Arabidopsis thaliana: one gene and its partners. The protein of the gene in region 4 binds, or shares a complex with, the protein of the main gene of each other region. Each region holds a gene or a part of one and is shown on either strand. Other genes may lie near its edges. The genes, in order: AT3G58700, AT5G45775, RPL16A and STV1.

Evidence for each region.
Region 1: STV1 (region 4) and AT3G58700 share a complex: the UniProt entries of both Arabidopsis thaliana proteins name them as parts of the large ribosomal subunit.
Region 2: STV1 (region 4) and AT5G45775 share a complex: the UniProt entries of both Arabidopsis thaliana proteins name them as parts of the large ribosomal subunit.
Region 3: STV1 (region 4) and RPL16A share a complex: the UniProt entries of both Arabidopsis thaliana proteins name them as parts of the large ribosomal subunit.

What each region holds. Positions count from the first base shown.
Region 1 is NC_003074.8:21,709,741-21,714,671, forward strand, and holds AT3G58700 (Ribosomal L5P family protein), read left to right. Parts: upstream 1-1,704; 5' UTR 1,705-1,920; coding exon 1,921-1,923; intron 1,924-2,012; coding exon 2,013-2,120; intron 2,121-2,214; coding exon 2,215-2,257; intron 2,258-2,577; coding exon 2,578-2,773; intron 2,774-2,877; coding exon 2,878-3,076; 3' UTR 3,077-3,364; downstream 3,365-4,931. Other genes in the region: AT3G58690 (Protein kinase superfamily protein), read left to right, coding at 1-204, 320-455, 656-914, 1,012-1,144, 1,225-1,506. UniProt on the Arabidopsis thaliana protein: Component of the ribosome, a large ribonucleoprotein complex responsible for the synthesis of proteins in the cell.
Region 2 is NC_003076.8:18,563,929-18,568,967, reverse strand, and holds AT5G45775 (Ribosomal L5P family protein), read left to right. Parts: upstream 1-2,385; 5' UTR 2,386-2,471; coding exon 2,472-2,474; intron 2,475-2,497; exon of another isoform or gene 2,498-2,563; coding exon 2,564-2,671; intron 2,672-2,766; coding exon 2,767-2,809; intron 2,810-2,896; coding exon 2,897-3,092; intron 3,093-3,488; coding exon 3,489-3,687; 3' UTR 3,688-3,976; downstream 3,977-5,039. Other genes in the region: AT5G45780 (Leucine-rich repeat protein kinase family protein), read left to right, coding at 1-53, 128-199, 299-358, 437-510, 592-738, 829-1,167, 1,249-1,640, 1,729-2,022; RLP55 (receptor like protein 55), read right to left, coding at 4,123-5,039. UniProt on the Arabidopsis thaliana protein: Component of the ribosome, a large ribonucleoprotein complex responsible for the synthesis of proteins in the cell.
Region 3 is NC_003071.7:17,789,090-17,793,989, forward strand, and holds RPL16A (ribosomal protein large subunit 16A), read left to right. Parts: upstream 1-2,602; 5' UTR 2,603-2,704; coding exon 2,705-2,707; intron 2,708-2,785; coding exon 2,786-2,893; intron 2,894-2,979; coding exon 2,980-3,022; intron 3,023-3,368; coding exon 3,369-3,564; intron 3,565-3,658; coding exon 3,659-3,857; 3' UTR 3,858-4,053; downstream 4,054-4,900. Other genes in the region: AT2G42730 (F-box/FBD/LRR protein), read right to left, coding at 517-831, 917-1,057, 1,212-2,129; AT2G42750 (DNAJ heat shock N-terminal domain-containing protein), read left to right, coding at 4,315-4,563, 4,811-4,900. UniProt on the Arabidopsis thaliana protein: Component of the ribosome, a large ribonucleoprotein complex responsible for the synthesis of proteins in the cell.
Region 4 is NC_003074.8:19,658,847-19,663,895, reverse strand, and holds STV1 (Ribosomal protein L24e family protein), read left to right. Parts: upstream 1-1,870; 5' UTR 1,871-1,983; coding exon 1,984-1,994; intron 1,995-2,372; coding exon 2,373-2,448; intron 2,449-2,545; coding exon 2,546-2,647; intron 2,648-2,751; coding exon 2,752-2,900; intron 2,901-2,993; coding exon 2,994-3,147; 3' UTR 3,148-3,408; downstream 3,409-5,049. Other genes in the region: SRPK4 (ser/arg-rich protein kinase 4), read right to left, coding at 43-90, 247-1,179, 1,290-1,484. UniProt on the Arabidopsis thaliana protein: Might have an extraribosomal function in reinitiation of translation of ETTIN and MONOPTEROS genes that are involved in the auxin-mediated gynoecium patterning.

The DNA of each region.
Region 1 (4,931 bases), 2.0 Mb from region 4:
GTACAAGATGTTACTGAAAATGGGTTGCAAATTTTCACCTTTAAGCAATTGCATTCAGCAACTGGTGGATTTAGCAAGTCTAATGTGGTTGGGAATGGTGGGTTTGGCTTGGTTTATCGTGGTGTGCTTAACGATGGCAGAAAAGTTGCTATCAAGCTCATGGATCATGCAGGAAAGCAAGGGGAAGAAGAATTCAAGATGGAGGTTTGATTATTTTTAGCTTACTCTTTGATCTTTATTTTTTCAAAGCTTATGCACATTTTGCTGTTTGCAGCGTTTTTGATTACTTGATTGATCAATTTTTTGTATCTGGTGCCAGGTTGAGTTACTGAGCCGTCTGCGTTCACCATACTTGTTGGCACTTCTTGGTTATTGCTCAGACAATAGTCATAAGCTGCTTGTGTATGAGTTCATGGCAAATGGTGGTCTGCAGGAACACCTGTATCTTCCCAACAGTAAGTTTCTTTTTCCAGTAGAGTTAGAAGTTGCTGCATGTTTGAAGTTGTCATCTGAAGACTCCAAATTTAGTCTATCTGTCTAGATGCTAACAATTTGAACATGAATCCTAGATAGTGTATAATAATTACGAATTGGTGAATATACGTCTGGAATTCTTGTTGGATTTGATAGAAAAATCTCTTTTTCTTGCATTTAGGGTCTGGTTCTGTCCCACCAAGATTAGATTGGGAAACTAGGATGAGAATAGCTGTGGAAGCTGCAAAAGGCTTGGAATATCTCCATGAACAAGTATCACCCCCGGTGATTCATAGAGACTTTAAGAGCAGCAATATTCTGCTGGACAGAAACTTCAATGCCAAAGTTTCAGATTTTGGATTGGCTAAAGTCGGATCAGATAAAGCTGGTGGACACGTTTCTACCCGTGTATTAGGCACACAAGGATATGTAGCTCCTGAGTATGTTTTTCACTCAATCATCTCTTTGTTCTTGTTTCCATCAGTTAACTTTGATAGGTTGGATACTAATACCAATATTTTCAATATCTTATGTCAGGTACGCTTTAACTGGTCACTTGACAACAAAGTCGGATGTCTATAGCTACGGTGTTGTCCTGTTAGAGTTACTAACCGGTAGAGTTCCAGTAGATATGAAGAGAGCTACAGGAGAAGGTGTTCTTGTCTCTTGGGTACGCGTTCCTTTCACAAACTGCTCTTGTGTCATTTCTTCTTGTCTTTGCTCTAATAACTTAACTTTTCCTATCTCCAGGCTTTGCCTCAATTGGCTGATAGAGACAAAGTAGTAGACATAATGGATCCAACACTCGAAGGACAATACTCTACGAAAGAAGTTGTTCAAGTTGCAGCAATAGCAGCAATGTGTGTTCAAGCAGAAGCTGACTACAGACCCTTAATGGCAGATGTGGTGCAGTCACTGGTTCCATTAGTGAGAAACCGTAGGTCAGCTTCAAAGCTTAGTGGCTGCTCTAGTAGCTTTAGCTTGGCTCGGTCTCCTAACTCTCCGGGTAAAGCAAGCATAGGTTCTCAATGAATAAATCAATCAGAGAAGACGAAATGTGAGGCTTTTATTATGTAACGGTATTTACTAAAACAGACAATGATGTAAACACTTGAGTGATCAAACATGGAGTCATAGAGATAATCATCAAATAAACTTTTTCGAATCTCTATGGGCTACTAGTTATTGGGCCAATCCTGACCCATTACTATATTCTACAGAGACGAGAATGATATTAGTTCATGAGAAAAAAGGTCACGTGAGGGAACGTGGGCTTGATGGAGAAAGGAGGGTACAATCGTCATTTTGAGTACTCGTAAAATTTGCTTAGAACCCTAGAAGGCTAATTAGAACTAGGGTTTATATAGTTTGCCGCTTCATCTCCGTTTCTTCTTTCCGATTCGTGTTTTCCCGTCGGCCGGAGATATATCGCAACCCTAATCCGAAATGGTCCGTCGCAGTTAACTCCTCTTCTTTGGTTTCACGTTTTTTGATGTTTCAAATAGAGATTTGATGATATATATTTTGGTTGAATTCAGGCGTCGGAGAAGAAGCTATCGAACCCAATGAGGGACATTAAAGTGCAGAAGCTGGTTCTCAACATCTCCGTTGGTGAGAGTGGAGATCGTCTCACCAGAGCCTCCAAGGTTTCACTTTTTTTTATCTGTTTTGTCTGGTTTTCATATCAACCCTGTGTGTATGCTCGATTTTAATGGAATTAGTTCTTCGATAACTTGGTAGGTGTTGGAACAATTGAGTGGTCAGACTCCTGTTTTCTCCAAGGGTAAGTTATTTTCTAAGTTGTATCAATTCATCGTTCGATCTCTGAGAAAATTTGCTGGAGATAGTTAGTGATCTCGACTAAAACAGGGGCACGATGCTTCTGAAGTTTAGGACGATGAGTTAGTTTTTTTGAAGGTCATTAGTTCTTACTTTTTGGTGTATGATTTTTAATTGTTACTGGCCTGGATCCATAGATAATCGTAGTGAGAATCAGTAGCTCTATCAATTGTTTTGTATCAATTGCTTGGAAGATGATTGTAACTTTGTTTTGGATGAAGAGAGTTTTGACATAAATCTTAACACTTGTTATCTCTTTTGCAGCTCGATACACTGTTCGTTCTTTTGGTATAAGACGTAATGAGAAGATTGCTTGCTATGTGACTGTCAGGGGAGAGAAGGCAATGCAGCTCCTTGAGAGTGGATTGAAAGTTAAAGAATACGAACTCTTGAGAAGGAACTTCAGCGACACTGGTTGCTTTGGTTTTGGTATTCAAGAGCACATTGATTTGGGTATCAAGTAAGTCTCATTCTTTCTAACACATACATAGAACAACTTTAGAGTGGCTTTTGTGTAACCAGTGATCAAACGTACGGGGTTTTTAAATATATATTTGATCTCAGGTATGATCCATCGACTGGAATCTACGGCATGGACTTCTATGTTGTTCTTGAGCGACCAGGTTACCGTGTTGCGCGCCGCAGAAGATGCAAGACTCGTGTTGGAATCCAGCATAGAGTGACGAAAGATGATGCCATGAAATGGTTCCAGGTGAAATATGAAGGAGTCATTCTCAACAAGTCTCAGAACATCACTGGTTAAACAAATGTGTCAAACAAATAGCTATCATCTGTTTTGTTTTTTTTGGGTTCAAATCGTATTTTCTCAGTTTTGTTTTGCTTCTCTGTTCTTCAGACATTTTGATTTTCCTTTATATATTTTGCGTATCTACTACTCCGACAAAAGCTGACTAAAGGTCTAAAACACATTTCCGAATTTTCGATACTCCGACAGGTAATGAACATTCTCTATATCTACATAACTCATCCCCAAACCGTAATTTTGTAAAATAACACTCTTAGTTCAACAATAATCGTTTGTGTTATGACTTATAATCGCATTCTGGTGTTATAGTTAATAACTGCGTTATAGTTTTTCATGAGGTAAAATGCATTTTTACATAAATTTTTAAACGAATCTTTGACTATGCGTCTATATGTTTAATATTTAGAAGACGTGTCAATTATATAATTACCCTGTGTACTTGTACATTATTTAACATAACAACAACTTCAAAAACATTATCCAATCATGTTTCATTGTCAATTCTCAGTTGCATCAGATTCGAGCGAATTATTGATTGGTTCGACATTAATTATCATGATCAGAAGTGACCAAATCAAACATATACATTACATACGTTTTGTGTGTGTAAACACGCGTTACATACATAAACTAATCAGAAAACCTATACAACCAGAAAATACAAGTTTTGGCTCCATTCTGACAGAAGAAGTTGGAGACAATAATGGAGTAATTAAACTAATAATTATGACACAGGCTTTTATAGTTTTATCTATTTATGATTTTACAATTTAATAAAGGACTGGAGGAATCTTGACTTGATCCCACACAGATTTATTATAAGCCATTTCCAGCCCAAATTTCTGTACACATTTATAAAATATTAAAAGTCATTTGTCTCTAGACCCATATATATTTTTTATTTTTTATTTTTACTTTTTATCTCAGATGAATTGCAGTTTTTATCTGGCCAAATTCATCCACAAAACGTCATCAAATGTGACATATTAAGATAGTATCCATTTGTCATGAAAAGGGCCATGTCACTCTCTGGAAACTTTTTGGTTAAGATCTCATAACCTCTTTCTGTTGGATGGTACGGGCTAAAACATTAAAGCAACCGATTTTCTTGCATAAAAGCGATGTGAATCTGTTGTTTTTGTGAGCTTCATGTTTTTAATACTAATACTACAATAGTATTGGACTATTGGTTCCTTCTCATTTTTCGATATAAGATTCATAGCACGTTTTTATTTTTTTGGTATCAAGATTCATTGCACGTTATTTTTTGGACCTCTGATCACTTATTTTTTGGACCAGATTTTTTTTTGTTTGCTAATTCGGTTAAACCCATGTGAACTTGTTGGTAAATAATGAATTACTCAATGTCATTTTATATATTAGGGTTGGTAACCTCTAGCTTCCAATGAAAAGAGAGTTCTCGCGGTATGTAAACTTCTTAAAACGGAGGAGTCAATAAGATCTTGGATGGGGATATATACGAAAAAACTAAGCTTAGCAGAGAATAAGAGAACATTGTACATCAAGTTTTTAAATAACAGAAACTTCTTATGAAAATGACCTTGACATAAGATTCAAATTAAGGTTAATTTTCAATGGAATATAGATTTAGTCCAAAATGGATAAATCGTAAACAATAAGAAGAAAATAAGTAAGCATGATATACAAGAATAATATGTCACGTTCACAAACATGATGCATTTTGGGAAAATTCACTAACCTTAGCCTAAGAACTACTATCATCTTAACCGATGTACAGTTTCACTTAAAAGTTTAAACTAATTCTTTGAACTTTAATCGCATTACAACATCTCTAGTTAGGAGTTCATATAATTAACCAGCTTTAGATCAT
Region 2 (5,039 bases), on a different chromosome or scaffold from region 4:
TTTAGTGGTGAAATCCCAGCTTCTTTAGGGTTCTTAACTCACTTAAACTACTTGTGAGTTTGATGCAAAGATTCTTGATTTACTTAATGTTGCAATTGTTATTTTCTTACAAGGTTAAGTCTTGTAGGCGGCTTAGCAGGAATCTTTTATCTGGGCAAGTCCCTCACCTCGTCGCTGGCCTCTCAGGTCTTTCTTTCTTGTATGTCTTACTCTACCTAACATTACAGCTCCAGGAAATTTCTATTTCGTATAATGTTTCTTAGACTAATGTTTTTTTATTTATGAAAAACTTGAATAGGGATCTATCTTTCAACAATCTAAGCGGACCAACTCCGAATATATCAGCAAAAGATTACAGGTAAGATATGCGAAAAATGCATGATTATTAGCCGTTGCAACTTATGTGAAAGCTTCTTGATAAACTTTTCTGTTTTAGGATTGTAGGAAATGCATTTCTTTGTGGTCCAGCTTCCCAAGAGCTTTGCTCAGATGCTACACCTGTGAGAAATGGTATGTTGCTTCGAAAATTCTTTGCAAAACTTTATTTAAAACATGGTTTCGTTTATTTAACTAGCTGCAATCGATCTGCAGCGACGGGTTTGTCTGAAAAGGACAATAGCAAACATCACAGCTTAGTGCTCTCTTTTGCATTTGGCATTGTTGTTGCCTTTATCATCTCCCTAATGTTTCTCTTCTTCTGGGTGCTTTGGCATCGATCACGTCTCTCAAGATCACACGGTACATATCTAATAGTCTCTCTCTGTCTGTCATATACAATATATGTCAAGACTTTGCTAAAATCTGCATTACTTTTTATGGATTTCTTAGTGCAGCAAGACTACGAATTTGAAATCGGCCATCTGAAAAGGTTCAGTTTTCGCGAAATACAAACCGCAACAAGCAATTTTAGTCCAAAGAACATTTTGGGACAAGGAGGGTTTGGGATGGTTTATAAAGGGTATCTCCCAAATGGAACTGTGGTGGCAGTTAAAAGATTGAAAGATCCGATTTATACAGGAGAAGTTCAGTTTCAAACCGAAGTAGAGATGATTGGCTTAGCTGTTCACCGTAACCTTTTACGCCTCTTTGGATTCTGTATGACCCCGGAAGAGAGAATGCTTGTGTATCCGTACATGCCAAATGGAAGCGTAGCTGATCGTCTGAGAGGTTTTCAATTAACACATTTCTTGTTTTGTTATTCTTTCGATATATAACGCGAAAAGTTCCTTATAAGATTACATGTTTCAGACAATTATGGAGAAAAGCCGTCTCTAGATTGGAATCGGAGGATAAGCATTGCACTCGGCGCAGCTCGAGGACTTGTTTACTTGCACGAGCAATGCAATCCAAAGATTATTCACAGAGACGTCAAAGCTGCAAATATTCTACTTGATGAGAGCTTTGAAGCAATAGTTGGCGATTTTGGTCTAGCAAAGCTTTTAGACCAGAGAGATTCACATGTCACTACCGCAGTCCGAGGAACCATTGGACACATCGCTCCCGAGTACCTTTCCACTGGACAGTCCTCAGAGAAAACCGATGTTTTCGGATTCGGAGTACTAATCCTTGAACTCATAACAGGTCATAAGATGATTGATCAAGGCAATGGTCAAGTTCGAAAAGGAATGATATTGAGCTGGGTAAGTAAAAAAATTCTATGAGTCATTTACTCAACTTAGACTGAACCCATAAGGACAAAACTTAAATCTAAACCATTGGTTTTTGTAGGTAAGGACATTGAAAGCAGAGAAGAGATTTGCAGAGATGGTGGACAGAGATTTGAAGGGAGAGTTTGATGATTTGGTGTTGGAGGAAGTAGTGGAATTGGCTTTGCTTTGTACACAGCCACATCCGAATCTAAGACCGAGGATGTCTCAAGTGTTGAAGGTACTAGAAGGTTTAGTGGAACAGTGTGAAGGAGGGTATGAAGCTAGAGCTCCAAGTGTCTCTAGGAACTACAGTAATGGTCATGAAGAGCAGTCCTTTATTATTGAAGCCATTGAGCTCTCTGGACCACGATGATAGACTTCATAGTGTCTTAACTAGTCTTCTTGATTTTGTTGTCATTGTCATGGCATTAACTGTAAAAATTTGTTTTCTCAATAACTCTTATTTATTCTGTTCTTCCAAAAATAAATGAAGATTTGCGTTTCCACAGTCTCATAAAAAATTATCTATCGTTAATTTTAAAACTCATACATAATAAAGTGATTCGGCGAATGAAAGACTATTTGCCTTATGTAACTAAGAAGGCCAAATATATGCTTAAGATTATGCTTTTCTTATGGGCTTTATAATATTGGCCCATTAAACCATTTTAATAAATCAAAGGGGTAATTTCGTCATTGCGTTAATTCAAGAAACCCTAAGTACCGACCCATATAAGTTCTCTCACTTTGCACTCGACGCAGTTTTGGGCTTTGCAAACTCTACACTGCTTCGTCTCTTAGCTCGACATTGATCTCCTTAAAATGGTATTTGTTTCGTTCGTCTCTGTAGATCGATTCAATGAAAATGTGTTTAGTTCAATGGGTTTATTTTTCGGCTTTGTTTTGTTTCTCAGGCGTCGGAGAAGAAGCTCTCGAACCCCATGAGGGACATTAAGGTTCAGAAACTTGTTCTCAACATTTCCGTTGGTGAGAGTGGTGATCGTCTCACTCGTGCCTCCAAGGTTCGATTTTGTTTGTAAAAATCTGACCTTTACGATTATCCATCATTGATTTAGTGATTTAGATTTGAATTATTGTTTTTGGTTATTTCGTATAGGTGTTGGAGCAGCTCAGTGGACAAACCCCTGTCTTCTCTAAGGGTATGTGAATTTGAAATCTTTCAGGGATTTAAGTTTGATTTTGTGTTGATCTTGATTCTGATGTATGTTGTGGTTTTTGTTATACAGCGAGGTACACTGTGAGGTCTTTTGGTATCAGGCGTAATGAGAAGATTGCGTGTTATGTGACTGTGAGAGGTGAGAAGGCAATGCAGCTTCTTGAGAGTGGTTTGAAAGTTAAGGAGTATGAGCTTCTTAGGAGGAACTTCAGTGACACTGGTTGCTTTGGATTTGGTATCCAAGAGCACATTGATCTTGGAATCAAGTAAGTTTTCTGTTTCTTTTGCGATGAAAGTTTCCTTGAATTAGTTACATTAATGGCTTTGTATAATGGTTTTGGTACTTGGATTCTTCATGTATCTGTATATGTTTAAAAGAATTTCAGTTGCATCTAAATGTCAAGTCTCTAAATTAGGGGTTTTGTGAGGTTTAGTCAGAATGCAGACTACTTTGGTTTTCGCTGAGTGTTATAGTTTTTGTGGAATTTTAAGTATGGATTGGATTAAAAATGAGCCCTTTACTAGTTTTTGGTTGAATGCTAGATTTGGGTCTAGTAAAAGATGAATGCTTTACTGTTTTTCAAGGGTGTTAGATTCGAAACTGATTAACTGGTTTATTTGAAATGTTTACTGTTCTCATGTGTTTTATTTTGTGTATATAGGTACGATCCTTCCACTGGTATCTACGGAATGGACTTTTACGTTGTCCTTGAACGCCCAGGATATCGTGTGGCTCGCCGCCGTAGATGCAAGACTCGTGTTGGTATTCAACACAGAGTAACCAAGGATGATGCAATGAAATGGTTCCAGGTCAAGTATGAAGGAGTTATCCTCAACAAGTCTCAGAACATCACTGGTTAAAAAGTGTTTTGATCTTTAAAGATTTTTGTTGATTCTAGCTTATTTTAAGTTGTTATCTTTGGATGTTAAAGAATTTCTTGTTGTAGTAAATCTTTTGACATCAGTTTGGTAGAATCTAAATCTTCCAAGAACCTTGGAGATATGTTTCTTATTTTATTCAATGTCATCATCAAAACTAAAATCAATCAAAAGCAGCTCCTTTGATTTCATTGTCCTTATAGATGAATATGTCTCTGGACTACACAGTCCCTAAACTAACCCTATGTTTTGAACAAATTTGTATAAATAAAACTAAAGATACTCATAACCACAATTCATAAATACACTCATAACCACAATTCATAAATACTAAAACAGGAGAAAATAAAATAAAACATTTAGAAGGAGAGAAGGGTGAATACACAACCAATACAAAATTACTACGTCCCAGACTTCTCAAATCAAACGACACCTTTTAGCGAGATAAAAGAGGAAGAGGATTAAGAACACAAGCGAGAAAAGACCAATGCCGAGACCAAACAGAGTCTTGTTGGAACCTTTGTGTTCTTCTTCTTCTTCTTCCTTCGTCTTCAGATTCTCCGTCTTCTCCTCATTGCCTCCTTCAACGTCGTAATCGTTTTCTCCTGACAAAGATTCCTCCTTTTGCGACGGAGACCATAAAGGAAAACCGTATTTATCACACGGAGCAAGACCCTCCAATTTCAAGTTCGAGGAGAGAACAGTTTTGTTATAACAGAGCTCACTGTTCCTTCCAATTTCGAAAAAGTTGAGATTTTTGATGAAGCTTTCGTTGAATGGTAAAACTCCATGGAAGGAGTTATCAGCGAGATTCAAGTGTTTGAGGTTCTTCATCTCGGAGAAGAAACTTGGAACGGTTCCGTTTAGTTGATTCATACTTAGATCCAAATGTGTAAGTTCAGAGATAGATGAGAGTGAATTTGGGATTGTTCCTGATAGTTTGTTTGAAGCTAAAGATAAGTTTTTTAGAAAAGTTAAGCTTTTGATTTTGTTTGGTATTTGGCCAGAGAGAGAGTTATGAGATAAGTTTAAGGACTTGAGGTTTTTGAGACGAGTAATGGAAATGCGTATTGAGCCTTTGAGTGAGTTGTTTGATAAATCTATGTATCTGAGATTTGAGTGGAAAGATTTAGGGATAAGGCCAGTGAGATTTGAGTTTGAGATAGTGAGGGAAGTGAGTTTATGCATGTTTCCGAGGATGACATAAAGACGACGAGAGGTTTGGATTGGGGTTGAGGAAATGTAGAGGGTTTTGAGGTTTTTGAGACGAGCGAGGAAGAGGCCGGAGAGTTTGGTACGGTTGTTTTGGAGGAAGGAGGAGACGGCGGAGAAGG
Region 3 (4,900 bases), on a different chromosome or scaffold from region 4:
CGAGGTGTATCCAATTCATGAAGCGTTTGAAAGAAGCTCCTGCATCTCTTGATTGTGACGTGGTCGTTAACACAAACTCCATTGGAAACGGAATCCGTTTTCTCCGAGATCACAAAAACCCCCTAATTCGATCTGAGGCAGAACTTCTTTCAGATCTTTGGCTCAAGTATCTTTACGCCACCGGTAGAAAACAGAAGTCGACAGATTCTGTTTAGTTAAACAGATTCAGAGAAATTCAGATTCAGGTTTTGAATGTAACTGTATTAATGTGTTAGAGACTTGGGTTTGAATGTATATGACATTATATTACTGCTTCTTAATATGGCAGATTTTGAATAAAGAAAAGGTTTCACGAGAGAAGATTAGAACACTAATATGTATGACAAAAGCTTTCTTCTTGATTCAATGAAGTCACACTCATTTCAAATCCATAAATAATAAAGCTTACTTAAGTACTATAGTTGGTTAAACTCACAATAATATGACAATGTTTTGCTACTAATCACATCACTTGGATCAGTTATTTTTTGTTAAAACCTTGACTTGGATCTTACACTTTGATGACGCTCTTGGAAGCATCATAAGATTCCTCATTTCCATGGTGGTTTGCAAGTTATTACTGTTGTTTACCACGCAAATTTTCACTAGCTCAAGACACGGTAACTTCTCCAAGAAATGCTTCATTTGATTCAGCTCTCTTGTCGTTCCTTGATAGCTCAATATCTCCAGCACCTTCACTTGAGATGATGATAGGCAAGAGGTTATGCTCTCGTCGGTATCATAGCAAACACATACATCCCCACATCTGTTTGTTATGTAGTGATCGAGACCCTGAAGCATAACAAAGAAAAAGAGTAATGTTAACGACCTACCAATATATATATGGTGTTTAGGATGTGTTTGTGACATGAGATACCATGAAGATGAGGGTTTCTAGGTTTGGAGAGTTCTTGATCAGAAGTGGCAGCATTTGCCATCCTCTTGCCTTGTCATTCCCAATAGATAGACTAACAAGGCTGTCGAACAATGGCATTTCTTTACATGAGAAATAAAGCAGCTTCAACAAAACACAATGTGTTAGTCTGTTGTCACTCAATAACACAAAAGTTGAAATAAATCATCAAAAGCCCCAAGTGAATCTCATTCTCGATAAGCAAAAAAAAAGAAGAATGTTATTTATAAGGAAAGAACAATATATAGAGGAGGCTGACCTCTAGAGTGTGGCTAGATAAGTGAAGGATTCTAACATTTCTGATTCCATTGATGAGATTTCTCATATCAGCGGGAATGGAACCGAGAGATCCATTTCTTACTCCCACCATTCTTGTTTCATCCATCCGAAGATTGAGTCTAGCTTCGATGAGGGAATCCAACTTAACATTAGGATACTTACCCAAAACATAACCAGAGTGTTTGTAGTAGATAAGATTAGGAGCATCTAATGAAATACTAGTAAACTTGCGATCAAATCGGATGTGTAGTCTCTTTAGAGATGGAGAAGACACGGAACAAGTCCAATCTACACATCGCCGCTCCTCAACAACCAGTTCTTCGAGAACAGGACAGCGAGATATAAGAGTTCCAACAACATTATGACCTCCAACAAAATTAACTGAGTCAAGACATAATGTCCTAAGCAAAGGAAGAGAAACATCTTGAGAAAGCTTGATTGTAAAACCACGTCCTACTCTCAGCTTAACCAATGTCTTGCTCTTAAAGATCATTGCAGGCACTGGTGGAGATTTTCCTTTTAAAGTAATGAACACATCAAGATCCATAACACCATGGTCAAGAACGTTGCAAATCCAACTTTGAATGCGAGATGAATCAGTGCCACCTCGAACACCAACATGACTCTTTAGAGTGAGCTTCTTTATAGAAGAACCACGTTGCGTATCTAGCAATTTGTCAACGAAAGCCATGTAATTTCTGTGAATCTCAATCCGGTTTTGCTTAGTCTTAGGCACAGATTGACGATCATCAATATCAAGATTGGAAACCAAAACAAACATGTTCTTCCACCTCTTAGAGAGTACTGAGGTTGAAACAGCTTCTTTTGTGGAGATAAGAGACAGAATACGCCCAAGAACCTCATCTGGTAGACGGCTGATTACATCTTTAGCATTCATTGATACCAAAACCTTAAAACCACAGCAATTGGATTCAGAAACAGTAACTAGACAGAGTTGATGAGTTCAAAGGTCTGTTCTTTTTCATACAATGCAAAGTCTAATACAAAAGTTATCATGTATCTCTTCAATCACATTGATTACCATAGAAATGAAAAAGACGAAACAGAGCAGACAACATACCTTGCTAAAGTGCTACTTGCTACAGAGTCGTGAAAGCTCTCCACTTTCAATACCAATTTAATCGTGAGATCAAAAGTGAAAACATCGAATACTAGGGTTTTGGAAAGTTTAAGAGAAGAGACGAAGAAACTGAAACAACTTATTATAAGCAATTTCCTCCATTTCCACATGAGGAAAGAGTAAAGCAGAAAGACTGATGAAGAAAAGGTAAGTAGTCTGTTTGGGAAAGAAAGTCACGTGAGAGAAGCGTGGGCCTTTAAGGGTAAAACTGTCATTTAAATAGTCGCCGTTCTTTACACTTAGGATTAGGGCTTCTAACATTTAAATAGTCGTTTCGTTCTCCGTCTCTCCTTTCCCGTCGGCCGGTGATAATTTCGCAACCCAAATTCCAAATGGTAAGTTTCAGTTCTTGGATTTGTATGATTTTGTAATGTGAATAGGGATTTGAAGATTTACTTACTTTTGAAATTCAGGCGTCGGAGAAGAAGCTATCGAACCCAATGAGGGACATTAAAGTGCAGAAGCTGGTTCTCAACATCTCCGTTGGTGAGAGTGGAGATCGTCTCACCAGAGCCTCCAAGGTTCCTCCTGTTTTTTACCCATTCTCTGTGGTTTTCACTCTTGTTGTCACTTGGTTATAATCGATTGATTCGTGGTTACTTGGTAGGTTTTGGAACAATTGAGTGGTCAGACTCCTGTTTTCTCCAAAGGTTAGATTTTTTCTCATATTTGAAAGCTTACAAATAGTCTGGTTGATAGATTTAGTAATCTAGAAGAATTTGGGAAACATAGTTTAGTTAAGTCTATGAATGGGTGCATGGTTTGATGATGAATTTGAGATTTTGGAATCCAGTAAGTCCCTTATCTGGTGGTTTGTGATAACTTGATAAGCCTACCAGTCCAAATTAGGAGCTGTTCGTTTCCCCGCTTCTGATATAGTTGCGTTGTGCACTCTGTTTTATATGCATCGCTTTTGGTTTGCTCTGAGAGACATGATTTGGTTTAGCTTCTTCCATTGCAATTTTCAAGAACCCTTGTTATGTGTGGCTTTTGCAGCTAGATACACTGTTCGTTCTTTTGGTATCAGACGTAACGAGAAGATCGCATGCTATGTAACCGTCAGAGGTGAGAAGGCAATGCAACTACTTGAAAGTGGATTGAAAGTCAAGGAATACGAACTTCTCAGAAGAAACTTCAGTGACACTGGTTGCTTCGGTTTTGGTATTCAAGAACACATTGATTTGGGTATCAAGTAAGTCAATCCCCTTAAATCATCCTGTCATAACACTTGGGGTTCACCACATTCTTGGTGATACTCATTGATCTTTGTTTCACTTCTTATAAAGGTACGATCCATCAACTGGAATCTATGGTATGGACTTCTATGTGGTCCTAGAACGTCCTGGCTACCGTGTAGCACGTCGCAGAAGGTGCAAGGCTCGTGTTGGTATCCAACACAGAGTAACTAAAGACGATGCAATGAAATGGTTCCAGGTGAAATACGAAGGAGTCATTCTCAACAAGTCCCAGAACATCACTGGCTAAAACAATTCCTCCTAACTCTTTCTTCTGTTTTAGAAAACCCTGTCTCAGTTTTGTTTACTTGTCTGAATCTTAATCTTTGTACTTTATATGCATTATTGGCTTTAGTTTCAGTTATTTAAGTATCTAATTTCGTGTGAGGATAAGCAAGATAAGAAAATTTTGGCGGGTAGTTGAAGCGTGTGGAGACATATAAATCCACTAGCTGACACGTGCCACGGACGGCTAAGCACGCTTTCGCCGATCGCCGATCGCCGCTAGATTCATCTCGGATTCCTCCAAATAAGCTTCCCTGGTTCTTATCTTGCCACGTCAGCATTTCTCCCTCGTACGCCTTAAATTCTTCACAAAAATAATAAAAATATTAATTCAAATAAATGTTCATCTTCTCCTACGAATGAAATTGAAATTAATTTGAGCGATCGGAACAGGATCGGGTCGGATCTTTTGAAGTTCTTCAATGGCGCAGATACTTTCCCCTGTTTGTACGGATCTTTTGAAGTTCCAGAACTCAGCTCTTAGCTCCAGATCAGGTGCGTCGCCGCGGTTCTCGGCGAAGACCACCGGTGCTTCTTCATCTTGGTACTTACCTCGGTACGCAGGAAAGAGGCGAACCGATTCAATCGGAAGATTGAGAGTTGCAACTGAGGATGCTTCTTCTCTTTCCACCGGTGATGTCGCCGATGATTACTATGCCGTTCTCGGACTCGTAAGAACCAAGGCTATTTCAATCCGATTTGATATATGCATATAGGGATTTTGAAGTGATGATTTTTTTTTTTGGTTTAAGTTGTTTGCTTATGATTGAAACTTCTTGTGTATCATGGAAAAATACTCTGCATTTCATATGGTTGTAGCTAGATTCATCTTTGTCGAAATTGTGAAGCCTTTGACAGGTTACAATCATTAAGATCAAAGATTGTGACTTTAATAACTCTCCTTTGCTATGTCAATAGCTTCCAGATGCTACGCAGGAGGAGATTAAGAAAGCTTACTATAACTGTATGAAATCGTGCCATCCAGACTTGAGTGGCAATGACCCCGAA
Region 4 (5,049 bases):
TCTTAGTAAAATGATAAACCTATCTGCTGATGATTCTATTACCTTGCGTGGCATCATCCCAAGAAGCTCCATCATCAGAGCCAAGTGATCCTGTTAACAGAAAAGCCAATTAGATTTCCAAACTCCCACAATAGAAAATTGAAGCAAATCCACGCTAAGATCCCACAAAACAAGAGAAGAGAAAGCCAAAATATGTAAAAACCACAAATGCACACAGCCAAAAGACAGCAGGGAACTTAAGCATACCTCATCTCTATCATAATTGTCGCCACTATGGGGATCAAATAGCACATCTCCAGTGACAAGTTCAAAACATATGCACGCGAATGACCAGAGATCTGCAGATGTAGAGTATTTAGATCCAAGGATTACTTCTGGACACCTATACTGTCTCGTTTGAATGTCGCTTGTGAACTGTTTGTATGTCCAACACGCATTACCAAAGTCAACAAGTTTACACTTGAGGTCAGCAGATGCCACAAGGTGCCTTCGACTTGATCGACTCCCTTTCTTACCACCCTGCTTTCCTTTCTCGCTACCATCTAATTCAATTGCGTCAGAAGTAGAAGGACAATCTTCTTCAACCGATTTTTCTGCAGCACATTGTTTTCCATTAACCGGTGATCCCACTCCACGAACTTTATCAGATTCCGTATTGCCCTTATTCTCTGCATGTCCCTGAGCCGAAAGCTTTGCCTTTCTATGACTTCCTGTTTTTTGATTCTTGACAAAATCACCATTGGAGTCAACAACTGTATTATCCTTATCAGTGGGGAGAACAAGAGGAGCTCCAGACTTCCTCGGATCTTTAGACGGATCAATAGTTGACGGTAACAAAACATTCTCAGGCTTCAAATCAGTATGTATAATCGAAAGCTGTTTATGCAAGTAGTCTAAACCAACCAACATATGATAACAAATCTCCTTAACCATAGGAATAGGTAAGCCACGGTAATCAGAATACTTAATCAACGTTAACAGATTATCTCCCAAATACTCAAAAACCATACATACATGCTGACCATTCGGACCTGAGTGTTTGAAATGATCCAAAAGCTTCACAACACATTTGGTATCATCAGTGTCTCCCTCTGCAATCTGTTGCAATATTGTTATCTCATCCATGGCTGCTTCAGTATAATGCTGAGCACTCTTTTGCACCTTCAAAGCCACATATCTCTGTACATTCGATATACGAGTAAGAAAATCACACAAACAAAGCAACGAAAAATTAATCTCTAAAGCATTTCAAGCAATTCGTGTGGCGAGAGAGAGAGATAGATGCGTACAGAGGATTGAGTATCCCAGGAGAGCCAAACAGTAGAGAAATGGCCCCAACCGAGTTTGCTCTGGACAACGTACCGGCCGGTTTTGAATGAGTCACCGATCCGAACGGCGTGGTAACCGCCGCGTCGGTAATCTTCTGTACCTTCGTCCTCCGACGTGTATTCACCACCGTCGCTGTTCCACTTCTCCGCCTCCATATTCAGTAAATCTAGACGCAACGCGAGACAAACTAAGCTCTCTACTCTTGGAATATCCGGCGACGATTCAATCCAATTTTGTGGATCTCTCTCTCTTTTGATTTGATTTTTTCTGGAAGCTTGTGCAGAGAGAGAGCTTAGCTACTTGTTCAAACTTTCATCTACCTTTTACGAAACGTCACCGTTTTTTAGGTCCATTGACAAGTTTCCTCTACCGTCGTCGGCTATGGGAAAAAATCAAAAAATTATTGGAGGAGAGCTGACGTCATCACTACAAAAATATATGGGCTAATAAAATTATGGGCCTATTTGTGATGGGCCTATTTAGTGGGCTTAAAGTGTGGGCCAGAATAATATATATAGACGAAAATGGCATTGGGTGAAATGTGAAGTCTCTTATATATAAGTATCGAGAGAATTAGGGTTTTCTAGTCTAGTGTTTCCGGGAGCAGCCTGAGCAGGAGGAAGAAGACGAAGAAGAAGAGGAGCAGCTACTACCATGGTTCTCAAGTAATCAAATCTCACCTCTCTCTCTCTCTCTGTATCTGTTCCTGTGTTGAATCTATTAACATCGCCTAGTGATAATGATTCATGATTTCACACTATCGGAAGGATCGATTCACTGAAATTGACTCTTGTTTCAATCGGAATTTATGATATGTTTTGCTTTACCGTTAGCTAAGCTGGGTAATTTCATGGTCTCTGTGTAGCTGGATCTGGTTCTAAGTAATAAAAGTATGATACTTCGTTAATATCTGTGATTAGTCTGTATTTGGTATATGGATGATTCATTTCTATCATGTAGACTGAGATTTTTCAGTGTCAAAGATCATTTGGTTGTCATTTCTAGTTGCAATGTCTCATTTGTTTATTATCTATGAAATACAGGACGGAGCTTTGTCGTTTCAGTGGACAGAAGATTTACCCAGGAAGAGGAATTAGGTTTATCCGATCTGATTCTCAGGTTGGTTCTTTTATGAATCTTCAGCTAATCAAATTGATTTGTTTATACTTTGCAAATGTTTTGGTTTTAGTCTTTTAATGGTTTGTATTGTTTTCAGGTTTTCTTGTTTCTTAACTCAAAATGTAAGAGGTACTTCCATAACAAGTTGAAGCCATCCAAGCTTGCATGGACTGCCATGTACAGAAAGCAACACAAGAAGGTAAAAAAAAAACTCAGTAATTTGGATCTGTTTTGTTGTTTGTACTTTGTTTTTTTTCATTGATCCTGATTTGTTAACATTCTAAAACTCTGTTTCTTTTATAGGATGCAGCACAAGAGGCTGTGAAGAGAAGGAGACGTGCCACCAAGAAGCCATACTCAAGGTCCATTGTTGGTGCTACCTTGGAAGTAATTCAGAAGAAGAGAGCTGAGAAGCCTGAAGTTCGTGATGCAGCCAGGGAAGCTGCTCTGCGGTTAGTTTTCTCCCTCTGTCAAATCATCCAACTAGGATTAAAATAGTTATATTTGACTTAATAAATGTATTGTGATGATGATTCAACAAACAGTGAGATCAAGGAAAGAATCAAAAAGACCAAAGATGAAAAGAAGGCTAAGAAGGTGGAATTTGCTTCTAAGCAACAGAAGGTCAAGGCTAATTTCCCCAAAGCTGCTGCTGCATCCAAGGGTCCTAAGGTGGGAGGTGGTGGTGGCAAACGCTGAAGAGCTTAAAGCCATCTTTTCTCACTCTGCGTCTTTTCTGCTAGTAGCTACTTTTAGTAGTTGATGTTCATTTCTGAATATTTGCAAAACATAAACCTTGTTATTTCGTTTTTGTCTCTCACTTTTGCTACTCTTATAATATCAGACTTGAGAATTTTGCTGCTTATGAACTTTATTTCACTGCTCTCTCTTGTCCTCCTATCATTAAAATCAGAAGAGTTTGTGTTCCTATAATAACTCTTTTTAAAACATTGTTTACTATCTTGCTACGCAATCTCATATCACCCGGTTGTGTTCAATAGCCGATTCTAATTGCAACTACTGAGCTAACAGCAACCTTGGTTATGTATCTTATGCTCTTTTGCTAAAATCGATTTAAGGATTGTTGTGAACATGTGACAACTTCAATTGTTACGGATTGCATCAGAACTGAAATTGCATTGTAAGGAACACCATGAATATTGGTTGATTTTTTCACACTGTTCAGTTAATTCATTTCAACAAGATTTATGTTGTTGGTCAATAACTTTAGCAATAAATTTACTTGTGGAAAATTTTCACGGGGCCAAAACATAACATATGTGGTTGGAGAAATATTTCGTTCATGCATGATCCTTGTCCCCCAAAAAGCCATACTCGCTTAAGTACATTTCGATACATTCGAGATATGATAGAAAACTGTTGTCCCTTTTGTTCGATTCTATTGTATTGTATAATAAAACTAAGCTAAGTTTTTAAAATTTTGGATAATGGGTGCTAATTTTTACTAAAACTTTGGGAATGTTTATAGTTTGTGTATAAGTATGAAATCCATATAATCTGTTGAAACAAAAACGTTTCCTAAGTTTATTTTTTATTTACTGATTTATGAGTTTTAACTTTATAAAATAAAATTATATAATTTAAAACCGAAGCGATTTTCTTTGGCTTAGGTTATATTACGAAATGGGCATGTGAAACACTATATAATGGAAGGAGGTAAGAAGAAGAAAATGATAACTCTACCACATTACCACCATTCTTACACCTTCCTTTTTCTTTCTTTTCCTTTTCGTTTGATTTTGGAAAGCAAGGGACTGTCGTCTCGGTTCGCGATCCACAAGTAATCTTTTGTGGAGATTATGAAAACAATCATCACGAGAGGCTACGTGTGGGTGGCAAACAAAGACGACAATCCCTATTCCAGTTCCATCAGAACTTGAAATATCATGTGAACTCTTGTGTCCCAACAGACACTTTACTACGGTGATGAAACTTGTTTGTTGTTAAGTGGGCATAGAGAACCAACCGGCCTCAATAAGTGTTAAGGTCATAGAAAAACGTAGACTGATCATCTAAATTCGTCATGAGCCTCTGTGGTAGCCCTCACAATGATCTCAATAGAGTGCATGCCACGATCTTGTAAAGACGTAGATGAGGGCTCCTCAGGTGTTCATGTCGAATGTTAGATGATGTATGTTAAAGTTTCTTACAACTCTACATCGTTAACACTTTAATCATAAATTGATATGCAGGTTTTCTGATTTGGAGAGGAGAGCTGTTTCATTGAGAGTTTTTAACTGTCTCCATGGTCAAGATAAGTAAGTCACATATTTGGCAATTATTGATCTCGATAAGTTCTGTCCCTAGCTAGAATCAAGAATGGGATCTTATATGTGGCTATCCAAACTCATAATTCATAATGATTTTGGTTAAAGAGTATTCGTCAAGCCAAAATATTAGCCTCACAATTTTAATTTTGATTGTTGGCTATTATTATGCTTCTGCTGAGTTTTGTCAGGTTTTGGTAAAAATAAACTAAAAGTCAGAAACCGCAATTGCAACATCTATAGGTATATAATATATTAGTAATAACCTCCTTTTTATTTTGATCGGTATATTTTTTGGCCATGATTCTTGGCT